2 linked regions of the Arabidopsis thaliana genome follow. The protein of the gene in region 1 interacts with the protein of each later gene in a biochemical or structural test. Each region holds a gene or a part of one and is shown on either strand. Other genes may lie near its edges.

Evidence for each region.
Region 2: the proteins of RPN13 (region 1) and DSK2 form a complex in vitro, tested with the Arabidopsis thaliana proteins (one study listed by BioGRID).

What each region holds. Positions count from the first base shown.
Region 1 is NC_003071.7:11,310,265-11,317,249, reverse strand, and holds RPN13 (regulatory particle non-ATPase 13), read left to right. Parts: upstream 1-1,725; 5' UTR 1,726-2,230; exon of another isoform or gene 2,231-2,507; 5' UTR 2,508-2,532; coding exon 2,533-2,565; intron 2,566-2,653; coding exon 2,654-2,746; intron 2,747-2,938; coding exon 2,939-2,998; intron 2,999-3,238; coding exon 3,239-3,352; intron 3,353-3,461; coding exon 3,462-3,528; intron 3,529-4,368; coding exon 4,369-4,447; intron 4,448-4,884; coding exon 4,885-5,006; intron 5,007-5,093; coding exon 5,094-5,117; intron 5,118-5,322; coding exon 5,323-5,417; intron 5,418-5,710; coding exon 5,711-5,788; intron 5,789-5,858; coding exon 5,859-5,913; intron 5,914-5,985; coding exon 5,986-6,068; 3' UTR 6,069-6,293; downstream 6,294-6,985. Other genes in the region: AT2G26600 (Glycosyl hydrolase superfamily protein), read right to left, coding at 1-251, 457-523.
Region 2 is NC_003071.7:7,481,176-7,486,881, forward strand, and holds DSK2 (ubiquitin family protein), read right to left. Parts: upstream 4,066-5,706; 5' UTR 3,916-4,065; coding exon 3,687-3,915; intron 3,575-3,686; coding exon 2,810-3,574; intron 2,516-2,809; coding exon 2,283-2,515; intron 2,207-2,282; coding exon 2,093-2,206; intron 1,913-2,092; coding exon 1,860-1,912; intron 1,468-1,859; coding exon 1,439-1,467; intron 1,267-1,438; coding exon 1,183-1,266; intron 1,107-1,182; coding exon 958-1,106; 3' UTR 706-957; downstream 1-705. Other genes in the region: AT2G17190 (ubiquitin family protein), read right to left, coding at 1-186; AT2G17210 (Tetratricopeptide repeat (TPR)-like superfamily protein), read right to left, coding at 4,223-5,706. UniProt on the Arabidopsis thaliana protein: Binds and presumably selects ubiquitin-conjugates for destruction. Prefers multiubiquitin chains rather than single ubiquitins, with a binding affinity for 'Lys-48'-linked ubiquitin chains.

The sequences.
Region 1 (6,985 bases):
AACCCAAGAGAAAGCATGATCAGCATTTGAACTCATCTCTTTTAAAAACCCATTAGGAAGTCCAACAACAAGGTCTAAACCAGTTCCACTAAAAGCTTCAAGAACAGTGTGATCTACATCGTATATACGCACATTCCGAATTTTAGCTTGCTTTAGAAGTAAAACTACTTTCTCCGGAGATGGTATGTTGTCAGCTATCCTTCCATAATTTATCCCATATGTTCCAACAAATGCTCCATCAACTTGATACTCTTAAAGATCAAAAAAAAAAAAAAAAAATCATCAGAAAAAAAACAACCAGAAATTCAAAATCATAACATTTAAGATTCAACTATGTTTGATCAATCAACGAAATTAGCAAAACCCAACATCGTAATAAGAGTTGAAAATTGAAATTTAAACTTAACCTAGAATTTTTTTTTTAGCAATAGAATTAATAATAGAAAGACACTGTACCAAGCGAAGTCAGATTGAAGAAGAAGAAGAAGAAGAACTTGAGAAGAAGTAACTTAGAACTTCTCATCTGAGAAGAGTTATCAGAAAACTGTGGAAAAAAAGTGGAAGAAGAAGCAAAGGGTCATCGAGAGTAAACGGGAATCTGATTCGACAGCGACATCGAAGCAATCAGATACTTACGATCAAAACAGTTTTTCAGGTAAACGCAAAAAGTCTAGAAGAGATTGATGAAGCTGGAGAAGAAGAAGAAGATGATTGTGCTTCACTTGAATGATTTGCAAAAGGAGAATTTTCAAAAGAGAGATTTTTTGTTCTTCTGGGTTTTGGGCTTTTGGGTTTGATTGGAGTTTCTTGTTTTCGTCACTGTCGAATATATGAATAACACTTTACTTTTTTTTTATTCTTGTTGAAACTTTTTTATTTGGTTATTAAAATAAGAAGTTAAATTGAATTTAATAAGAAATGATAAAGAAGAATAATAAGATGGAAATTTCGTAGTGGTTAAGTAGTGATGTGGTTGGACGGTGAGTTTCTTTGGACGTACCAACATTACAGCTAAATCAGACGTGTATGGACCTCATTGTATTACTTTTTCTCAAGTGCTTTTTTTCTGTTTGTAAAATGTATGTTTGTTTACTAGGGTTCCAACTTTTCTTGTAGACTTTATAATTTAACTTTTTAGTTTTGTATAGAAAGATGGATGATTGAGAATTTAGCAGACTATTTAGATATTGGCTGCGTTAAGTGATATGAGAGAGGTTTGGTAGAGAATTAGCCTAATTAGATTATGGAATAATCAAGTGATTAAGTTTGCAATAAATAATGTGAGTTTTCTAAGTTAAGTGATCTGATCATTCACTTGAACTGAATATATTAAGGCTGCAAATGGTTGGATAACGATGAAAAAAAATAGAAAATTTGAGTTGAAAAAAAAAAGTTGAATACTATTCAACTCATTCCTCTGCGATATTCAACTCATTCCTCTGCGAAATATGAGATGAACAAGTTATAACTTTATTTTTAATAATTAGTTCATTTTTCCAACTTGAAATGGTTGTATTATTTTTCCAACTTATTCATTTTAAATGGTAAAATATTAGATGAATGCTCATTCAATTCTTTCAACTTCTTAATTCTAGGCAATCATTTGCACCTTAAAATTTATATAAAAAAGATAGTTATTTCGAAAAACCCTCTAAATCAATTTGACTCTCTTAATATAGATTAATAATATGACCTCAATCGAACCACTCTGTAATCTAAGTGGATCACGATACCATCATTTCCCATATCGAATTCTTCCAAATGAACTACTCTCTAAACCTTAATGTTTCCCCCAAATCGATATTTCAATGGATATTTTCTTTAATTTTCATGTCATTTTTTGTTATGTTTTATGGCACAAGAAACTAATGAAATTCATGTCCTTTTTAGCGATGTCACGTCATCGATATGACCGAAGTTTATTTTGCGGATGACTTTAGAGTTCATATGATTAACTTGTATAGTTCGGATATGAATGGTAGATTTGTAAACGAAATTGACTTACAGGTTTTGTTTGCAGCAAACCCAAAAATTAAAAGCCTAATGAAGAAAAATTCGGATTGGGCTTGGAGTTGTTCGGATGAATTGTTGTTTGTAGCCTTATAGGGGCCCTTGTTTATACAAGAAGAAAGAAAAAACACAAGAGACGACGCAATTGAAAGAAAAAAAAAAACGAGAAGCGTTTTCTTTCTCTCCAAAATCCATTACTCGCGAACTTTCCTCTGCTAAGGTATTCTTTAACCTTGTCAACACACTAGCCTTAAGGTTGTAAATCTCTCTCTCTCTCTCTCTTTTTTTCAATTTCTACGAAGATTGGTAACCCTAGCGTTTTGTTATCTTCGCTTCAATCTGCTCTGTTCGAGATTTGGTTTTGCAATTTTCACGGATTTCGTTATCTTTAGTATACATATGATTGTTGTCAATAAACTTTGCAGAAGAACTTGTTTTAAGCCTTGATCTAAGAGCACCAAGCTGAATTTATTCTGATTTCTCTGTTTACTGAATAGTGTTCACTAGAAAGAGGTGGTGATTATGAGTTCAAGCGAAGCGTTTCCCGTGATGCAGGTAACTATAGGTGGTGTTTATCTTTCTCTTATTGTTCTTAGACTAATTACGAAGGTTCTTACACTTATGTTTGGACTAATTTTGGCAGGAGATCATGCTTGAGTTTCGTGCTGGGAAGATGTCTTTGCAGGGAACAAGAGTTGTCCCTGATGCACGAAAAGGACTTGTCCGCATAGCTAGAGTAATGTCGACGCTTTTAGTTTCCATTTAGTAATTTGAATTTATTCGTTTCCATTGAACGTTGGAGTGTATCAGCTTTTCCTATTGAAGTTAAAGCATATCGGAATCTAATTGTTGGTGTCAGAACACGTTTATTACTGGTTCTCTGTAAATGTTAACCTAGGTTTTTTAATCCTGTTATCCTTTCTTTTAGGGTGACGAGGGACTGATTCATTTCCAGTGGCTTGATCGAAACCAGAATACAGTAGAAGATGTATCCTCTGCACTTGTTTTTTTGAATTTTAGAAAAGGACTAGAGATTCTCCTAGTATCAAGTCTTTGCTATACCAGTGGATTCGTGACCCAAGACGGTCAAATTTCTTAGCTCTATCCACCTAGGAGGTTTTTTTATTTTTTGCCATGCATGAATAGAACAAAAACTGAAGGATTTATTAATTGTTGCTACCAGATGTTCCAGTTACGAAGTTTTCTCCTTGACCATACCTATTTATAGGATCAAATTGTTTTCCCAGATGAAGCTCTATTTGAAAAGGTTAATCAATCCTCAGACAGGGTGTATATTCTGAAGTTCAACAGTGATGACCGCAAGTTATTCTTCTGGATGCAGGTTACTTGTTTGTTTTCTTAAAGATATGTTTGTATGTTTGTTCACCTTAATCACTTATATCTTTGATCTTGTTTGTCTCTCAGAACTCTATTTCTAAATTATTTTGCAGGAGCCAAGAGCTGAAGGTGATGCAGAATTGTGCTCTTCAGTCAATCAATACCTCAATCAACCACTAGGCATGTAACATTCCTACCTTGTTACAAACAGTCTAGGATATGACTGCATCCTTGTACTAATGTCTTTCTTACTGTTTAACCTTCCAACTTCCATGATGAGCAAACTAGCTTTCTTATCCTTAAAATTAAAATACATATTCCTTCGTACATTCATTCATCTGGCATTTTATGTGTCAACGCGGATTTGGTAATAGTTTCATGGTACTAATATTTATAAGGAGCTTCCCTTTCCAAATAGCATGCACAACAATTTCTTTTCATTAGCTCATGTAATCGTTTCCATCATGAATATGAAAAAATTTGCCACGAATAGGTGGCGCCTTGGTTGTAGAACACTGGTTCAAATCCATATTTCTGCTTGCTTTTATATTTCATCGAATCCAAATTTAGTTGTAATTGTACCATAGAAGGAACCACTTTTTTAAATTTCCTGCGTAAATGGATCTTGAGTGTGACTACCAATCAGTCTAATGCGCTTATCGACTGAATGGTGAAGAAGTTTTTAATATATATCAAAGATCAGATTTGCAAGAGTATGTTTGATTTCTTGCTTGTCATTGTTGGTTTGCGTATTAAGAAAAGTTTGAAGTGAGGAGCTAAAATGTGTTATTGTTTTTTAGCACTCGAAAACTTCTCTTATCCCAGATGGAATGGACGCCACAAATTGTAGCCTTTTTACTTATAATGTCACTAAGATTCTGCAATAATTCACATATGAGCATGTAAATGTTATTTTCTCATCTCTTTATGTGTATTACGCATGCTTGATAGTGACAATACGTAGTCAATTGCATAAGACGAAAAGGTTGAATCAATCTAATAAATTTTCCTGTGCACCAGAGTTTCCTGGTGAAGAAGGACTTGCAGCTGCTATCACGGAGGAGCTGGAAGACATGGCAGAGGATAATACATCATCTAGGTACTGATTAATGTCAAAGTGATAGTCTCACTGTCGGTTTTGCAAAGTACATAACTGGCTTACCATTTTATCTTCAGAAATGGGTTGATTGCTTTGTGGTCAGTGTCATTGAAACATATATTTTCTTGCTATTTTTCCTTATGTTGCATCTGTGGAATGCTTTGGTAACTTACATCCTACTTGTGAGTTGTGTAAATGGACTTTGCACATTAAAGTTGTGTAGACATGGCCACTCAGGGGTCAATAGATTTTCTGCGAAAAGCTATCAGACTCTTTTTTGATGAGATTCGGAAAGCTTAAATTTCAGAGTCATATGTTTTTCGTTATTATGTGAAGATTTTCAACAAATATCCTTGATTTGCAGTTTGAATACCATGTGAAAAGTATTAGCTTATATAGAATGCTATGGCTTATTTGAATTTTTTCATCTTGCATAGAGCGGGAAACTTGGTTGTACCAAATTTGTCTTCAGAGGTGAGTGACGTGACATCGTCCTCTGGACCGGTTAAGCTGGCAGACCTGCAAAGAATTCTGAACAACCTCTCTGGTGGCCCTGTAGGTACAATTCTCTATCTCTAGGTTCTCCTATCAATAGGATTTTTTGGTTTCCCTCTTATACTTATTTAGGTACGGTTGTAATGTTTAGGTATTGCTGGAGATCAAGACGAAGGTAAATAATTTCAATGTTTTAAATTATTTGTATATGATATGGTGCGAAGACATTATATATTTATCCTAAAGTCTGCATTGGTTGGAAATGGCAGTGCCCAGCTTTTTTCTGTGATCAATAATATGTTCTCAACTGTTAATTGTTCTTTCTCTCTACTATTGTTCATTACTGACCTCATCGTCCACTCTTGTTATATCGTTCAAAGGTTTAGCATTAGGGGATATCTTGAAACCGGAGTTGATAATGCCATTGCTTGAGGCGTTGCCGGTACAAGAACGACTATCTTCGCATTTACCTGAGGTATGTCTTGGTCTTCAATGTTTCTGTATTCTATGAATATGAACATTACATGCAATTCTCTCCATTTTAGTTCTGTCTTCTGAAAATGTCTGTTATGGACCAGAGGTTTTAAGCAAAAACTTCCCTTTAACCTGGCTCTGATACCAAATTGATATGATGCGAAACCTTAGCCTTAGCTCTTGTTAAAGGACCCGTTGCTAAAGCTTAAAGAACAAGAGATTGAAAGCTAAGCTGAGGCTAATCACATTGGTCATGTACCAGACTAACCCAAAGGCTAATCTAATCAATCACAGGGTCATTCTAGGGCAGAAGATATACTGGAGTTGTTGCAGAGCCCTCCTTTTCGTCAACAAGTAGATGCATTTACCTATGTAAGCCCATCTGTGACAATGCTGTTTCCATTCTTGGGTCGATATTCTAACTCAACATCTCTCTCTTTAGGTACTCCGCACAGGACAAATAGATTTGACTCAGTTTGGTATAGACCCAAGTAAATGTGAGTGATTCTTACGATGTTGTTTCCATTCTTGTTGTTTCTTTTTCTCTTATGCAGTTTTAACTTTTGCAGACAAGTTCACAGTGGACTCATTCCTTGAAGCACTTGAAGACTCGGTTTCAACGCAATCAAGGGATGCGATGGATGAGAGTTAATCTTTTCATATTCTCATGATTTTGTTCGAACTTTGATATTGAACTGAGAAAAACATCTTCGTTGTTTGGTGGATCATTTATGGAGTTTTCATGAAAGTGTAAGGATCATCATGGGATTTTCCTTTTCTGCCACAAAGGTTTCTAAGCATTTATATCAATTTTACGATTTAATTAGACTAGGACATGCGGAATCACGATTTCAATAGGAAAAAGAAAACCCTAACCATAGAGAAAAACTTTTCATAATTTTCATATGCTTTGTTTTTTTCTTCATAATTTTCATATCCGTGTAACATAAAGTCAATGTCAATATTCACTTACAAGTTCACAACCATACGAAGGTTATCACTGATCAGTTATCACCAAATTATTTCTCAAATGTTCCACCACAAATATTGCAACGCCTAGGTCATTTTCTAGTAAAGCGTAATCAAAGAAAATGATGTCTTTCTATTTAATAAACATGTTGCGATGCTTGTTAAGTCTCATGATTTTTCCATTTACCAGTACTATCAATGCAAATTTGTTTGCAAACAAACGAACAAGGCTAAACCAAAAAGAAAACAAGGATAGGAAAAAGAGGCAAAAATTAAAGATGGATTTGTAAGATTTCAATAAATACAGATTTCAATAAATATCGTAGTTTTTCTTTTTGTAAAATATCATTTTTTCTTTTAATCTTGTAGAACAAAAATAATTTTGGAATACAATGTATAATCATTTTGACTCTTTATGTGTCTTCTCACCATATTTTTTTGTATGTTTGGGTTGTACTTGGTTTACGCGTTTGCGAATATATTCTATTTGCTTTCTAGTTCTAGTAAAATCGAAATCTGGATGTAGTTCGGGAGGGTAAGAAAAACTGAATTTTGTTAACAAATTTTTTGTCTCATTTATTTTCTACACTTTATCATTGT
Region 2 (5,706 bases), 3.8 Mb from region 1:
GTAAATCAAACGCTGCTGATTTGCCGGCACATCGCTGTTCTGCGCAATTAACTCTTTGAAAGACTCCACCGTGGAATCGAGGCTCGTCGTCACACTAAATTTCGTGCCATTGGAGCATCTGACGTTCACGGCAACAGCTACGCCTTCAGCAGTCAGCGGCTGCCTCGAATCTGCTTCACCACCCATTCTAATTTCAGATCCTAGTTCAACAAATCGCGAAATTGATCGGAGAATCAAAAGCTCTAAACCTAGAAGAAAAAATCGTAGAAGAAGATTTGAGGAGACTCGAAGCTCTAATAAGTCGGTTCTGAAGATTTCTTGAGGAAAGGGATATAAATTATTTTTGGTCGAATAACAAATGAGACTGCAGAAAATTAAAGAGTTATTTGGCCCCGAACGGCCAATTAAATGAGAATCCAGAAATGACTTGCGCTTCAGAGAACGTATCGACGACTCTTACTGGGTAAGATTGGGCCGGGTCGGGTCTAAATTGAGGCATTTGGTATATAGTTCAGGAAGGAATTGGCTGTAACTTGAATCTAATTGAAGATGATGAATCAACTAATTGGATATTCCTTTGCAACATGCCACTTCTCTCTTTGGGCAATTTGGTTTAACCTTTGAACCGGATCAGAAGGAACCAAAAATTTAATGGGTTCAATTTCACTTTGATGTCTATAAACATTTACAGATGTTGTATGTTGTAACAACTTGAAATAAGTTATCAAAGATAAACACCCAAGATATATAGGTTTAAGGGTAGTTAAAGACGAAGAGTGACCACTGATAACAAATACCGTATTGATGCGGCTTTTCTATCAACAAAGTTCACGATCCTATCATATATAAATTTTTATGAATTCGATGAATATATCATTACTGAAAAACACACATTCAAGCTGTTTATTCTATAACTGAGAAGCCAGATGGAGAGACATCAGTTCATGAACCTGTATGCTACTGTCCGATACTCCCCAAGAGTCGTTCTACAGCAGCGTTAACGTTACCATTGGTTGCAAGCAACGCCCTAATGTTCTCTGCTCTGTCATAGAATCCCATTTCCTGCAACTGTTGCAATTGAGTAGCGTACCGCTCTTCAGGAGGAACTGGAATCAAACAGACAAGTTTCAGTGGAACCATCACAACAGATGCGTAAGCTAAAAAAAATTTGTAGTCTCTAACCATTGGATTGGTTCGTGCCACTCAGGCCGCCAGCACCAAGACTGCCAAACATATTCATCAATAAATCCAGCCCCCCGTTATTTCCTGTCCCCATCAGTATTGTCATTCTACTATTAACTTGTATACGATACAATATCTGCTAAAATAAAACATACATGAAAGCAAAGAGAACTAAAGAGTAGCTGCTATACTACGTAACATAACTAAACCCTTTATACTACTGTAGAATAAATACATATAATATCTTTAAGAGTACCTGTGGCAGCACCAGTTTGCCCCGCATCCCTACAGAGAAGATAGATTTGGGAACATGAATGCGGATTGATGAAAATCAAAATATGGAGATTAACACACATAGCTTATGCTAAAAGGCATAATCAAAAACAAACAAAATGTTATGAGCCCTATTCAAGTGTATTCCAACGATTAAAATGCTTTATTTATAGCCTCTTTGATAGATGTTACTAGTGATCAGCCCAGTAAATCATACAAGAGTTGCTGCATTAGTCATGGTTCAATCCTTTTCTTATTATAGAGATCGTTCACAACCAATCTTTTTAGCTAGTTACAACATTGTCTAAACACTAAACAACCCAAAAAACAATATGTAAAGGACATGTAAATGCTCAACTTTGTTTAAGCAAATCCAAACAACGAAGGGTTTTAACAAAACTTACTGGCTGGCTGTATTTCTATTCTGAGATAGTGATTGCTGTAGAGTCATCATTTGCTGAAGACCAAAAAACAATAGAAAACATTAGGTTTAAGAAACTTCTTTACTTTGTCCCAAAAAAAAAAAAGAAAAGAAACTTCTTTACTTGAAAATAGCTTAGATACAAAGAAATGTTTCTTTTGAGAGACTACCATGTTAAAAATTCATATGCATACAGACAATAGGGGACAAACTAACCTGCATCATCTCCGGAGAACTAAACTGACGAAGGAAATCTGGGTTCTGCATCATTTCCCTCAACTGAGGATTCGAATCTAGCATGCTTCGGAGTTGTGGGTTAAGACTCATAAGCTGGAATCAAGGGAAAACAATTAATATATGTTCACAATGGTAAAAGGCTCTTAAGTTCAGATCATTCTAGGCCTACCTGATTCATGTATTGTGGATTGGAAAATACGCTTTGCATCATCTGCGATATGGCTGGGTTTTGCAATAACTGGCTCAATTGAGAAGCATCTGGAGTCGCACCAAGAGGTGAATCCGCTCCAAGCATACCGAGTCCACCAAGGCCTCCAAGGCTTCCAAGACCACCAAGGCCACCAAGTCCAGGGCTCCTCGCATCCCCACCAACATTTGTCCTTCCAGGGGCAGTTGTCTGACCTGTCAAGTAGCCCACAATATGTTCAATTATATTTAGTGTATTATGAGTAAATGTTAAATTAGAAACAATAAGCCAAGAAAATCATATGCAAAAACTACACATAACAACAAATTGTGGTAACTACACTAACTCACCAATTTACTATACACAATATTGTTCCTGAAGCAGAGCAGTGAACAGTAACGTCCATTTCTTATAAACAAGCCACTTTTTCATTTATAAAATATTACTGCATCCTTCAAAAGACAAATAAAATCGACAGGAGATTAGAAGATGAAAATGCAGTTACTTACCACCTGTAGCACCCCAAGGATTAGGAAGTGGATTTGCATTCGGAATAGTCCCCGTTCCAGCATTTGGTGTCGAAGAATTATTAGAAGCATCACTTCCTTGCGTAGTGACCCCCTGGTTTCCCAACAGAGCAGCAAATGGATTGGAGCCTGTATTGTTTCCAGCATTCCCGGACATAGTGGTAGCATTCATTAACGGTTCCTGGACATTTTCATACATACGCCTAAGCATGTTAAATCCCTCAGGCATAGACTCAATATTACTCATAGCCCTATCAGTATTCCGCATCATTTCACGCATAAGCTCTGGGTTTCTTGCCGCTTCTAGAGTTTGACGAAGGATGCTTGGGTCATTGAGCACATGACCAAGCTCAGGATTGCGATCTACAAGCTCACGCATTTGAGGGTTATTCATAATCATACTCCTCATAAACTCTGGGTTGTTCATAAGGTTCTGGATGGCTGGAGTATTCATCATATCTCTAATCATGTTAGGGTTTTGAGCTAGTTGTTGCTGTGTCTGCACAAGATCCGGAAGACCAGCTCCAAATAACCCAGACATAGCATTTCCACCACCCAGAGGATTAAATCCAAGCCCAGGGAACAAAGATTCCCCAGGACTCGCTCCTCCTAGATTCGAGCTATTATCTGAACCAACCCCTCGAGTAACACTAGGTGCAGTGGTTTGGCTTGCGGCCGGAGCAGGAGGTGGTGCTGAAGAAGGTGCAGAGCCTCTAACCATATGAATGGTGTGATCAGCCTGCAAACCTAGGTATAACATGTTCCACAGAGAATAGAATCCACAAGAATTTCAATCAATAAGGATCTACGAGAACAACAAAAGTACCCACACGAATAAATCAGAAACGATGAAGATTACCATAGCTGAGGAGAGTTTGATCGTCCTTGAGGATACGACCCTTGTAAATCAAGCGCTGCTGATTAGCTGGAACATCGCTGCTCTGAGCCACCAACTCTTTGAAAGACTCCACCGTTGAATCGAGACTCGTCTTCACACTAAATTTCGTGCCATTAGAGCACCTGATGTTCACAGCCACAGCTTCTCCTTCACCACTCTGCGGCTGACTTGAATCTCCCTCTCCACCCATTTCTAATTTCGGATCCTAATACTTAAAATAATCGCAGAGCTCGCGAAATCGATCAGGAGCCCTAACCCTAGAAAAATTCGATAGAGATTTAGAAGACTCAAAAGCTCTGAGTCGGTTCGGTAGATTGCTTGACGAAATGGATCGAAGAGAACAAAACAAGAAGACTTCTGCTTCAGAGAACGGATCGAAGGGACCGGGTCGGGTCAAAAACAAAACCCGGTTCGTTCCTTTTCTCACCCGGATCCGAGAATACATACGGCATCGTATAATAATATCATTTATCTGCTTCGTTGAGGCCCAAAGGGCTTTAGTTTATCGGTCCTGCAGTATCGTCTAACTTCATGCATCTATGAAGACTCTGAACGACATCATTTAATTCAGAATCACTCTGGCTTAACTTGTCTCCAGCCAAAAACCTCTTTGCCAAGTTTCCTTCACGAACCATGCTATAACCCGCAACGACCCGAACCTTTCTCTCCTTCACCAACCTCCTCATCATTGCTACATCTTCCCATGATTTTTCTGCAGCAAATGTGCTTGACGCAAGCAAGTAACCTGAAGAACACAAGGGCTCGAGTTCAAGAACCTCAGCTACTACCTCTGAGGTAATGATCAATTTTTTAAAACGGTTTCTGCAACCGCTAAGAATCGCTCCCCAAGCACTAGCCCCTGCTTTAACATCTTCTGGAAGATTCTTGATAAGTTCCACAGCCGTATCAATCTCTCCAGCTCGGCTAAGCATGTCTACAATGCAAGAGTAATGTTGCAATGAAGGTTTGTGATCTTCTTCTACCATTGATTTGAAGATCATGAGACCTTTCTTTACCAATCCTCCATGATTACAAGCTGATAAAGCTGCCAGATATGTCACAGCGTTTGGTGTGTAACCTTTTTGTTTCATTTCATCGAACAATGCTAATGCTTTATCCGGTAGACCATTAATAGCATATGCTGAAATGATCACGGTCCAAGAGATGATGTTTTTCTCAGTGATTTGATCGAAAGTCCTTCTCGCCATTTCTATGGCACCACATTTTGCGTATGCGTCAACAATAGAGGTACCAACTGAGATGTCATTGATGGCTAAGCTTCTCCGGATAGCAATCCCATGTGCCCATTTGGAAGTTCTCAAGTCCGCTGAAACTGAGCATGCGTTAAGAAGACTTATGACGGTGATAGCATTGGGCGTATCCCTCATGTGACAGAAGATTGAGATTGCTTCATCGGATCGGCCAGCATGGGCTAATCCAGAGATCATTGTGCTACATGACACCACATCCTTGTACGTCATCGAATCAAGCACGGTTCCTGCATCATCAACAAGACTGCAGCTTGTATACGCATCAATCAAAGAACTCAAAGCCACTTCGTTTGACTCATATCCACGCCGAATTATTACACCATGTATTGACTTGCAAGGCAATGGCTGCTCAAAAAACTTGCAAACCCGGAGAAGACTCACGACTGTAACTTCATCCACTTCGACCGCCTCTTGCACCATCAAATGAAACATCTCAAGAGCCTCATCGTACCTTTGATTATGTACAAACCCAGCCAAAATCGAATTCCATGAAACAATGTTTCGACAAGTGGTCTCATCAAATACTCTAAATGCTGAATCAACATCAAATCCTTTTGAATACATATCAATAAGTGAATTGCAAACAAACACATCTGCCAAATCAAAACCTCTCCGTATCGAAAACCCATGAACTGATCTTCCAACATCAATGTCCTCCATCACCGTGCAAGCCTTGAGAACACTTGTCACAGTCACACAATCAGGCTCTG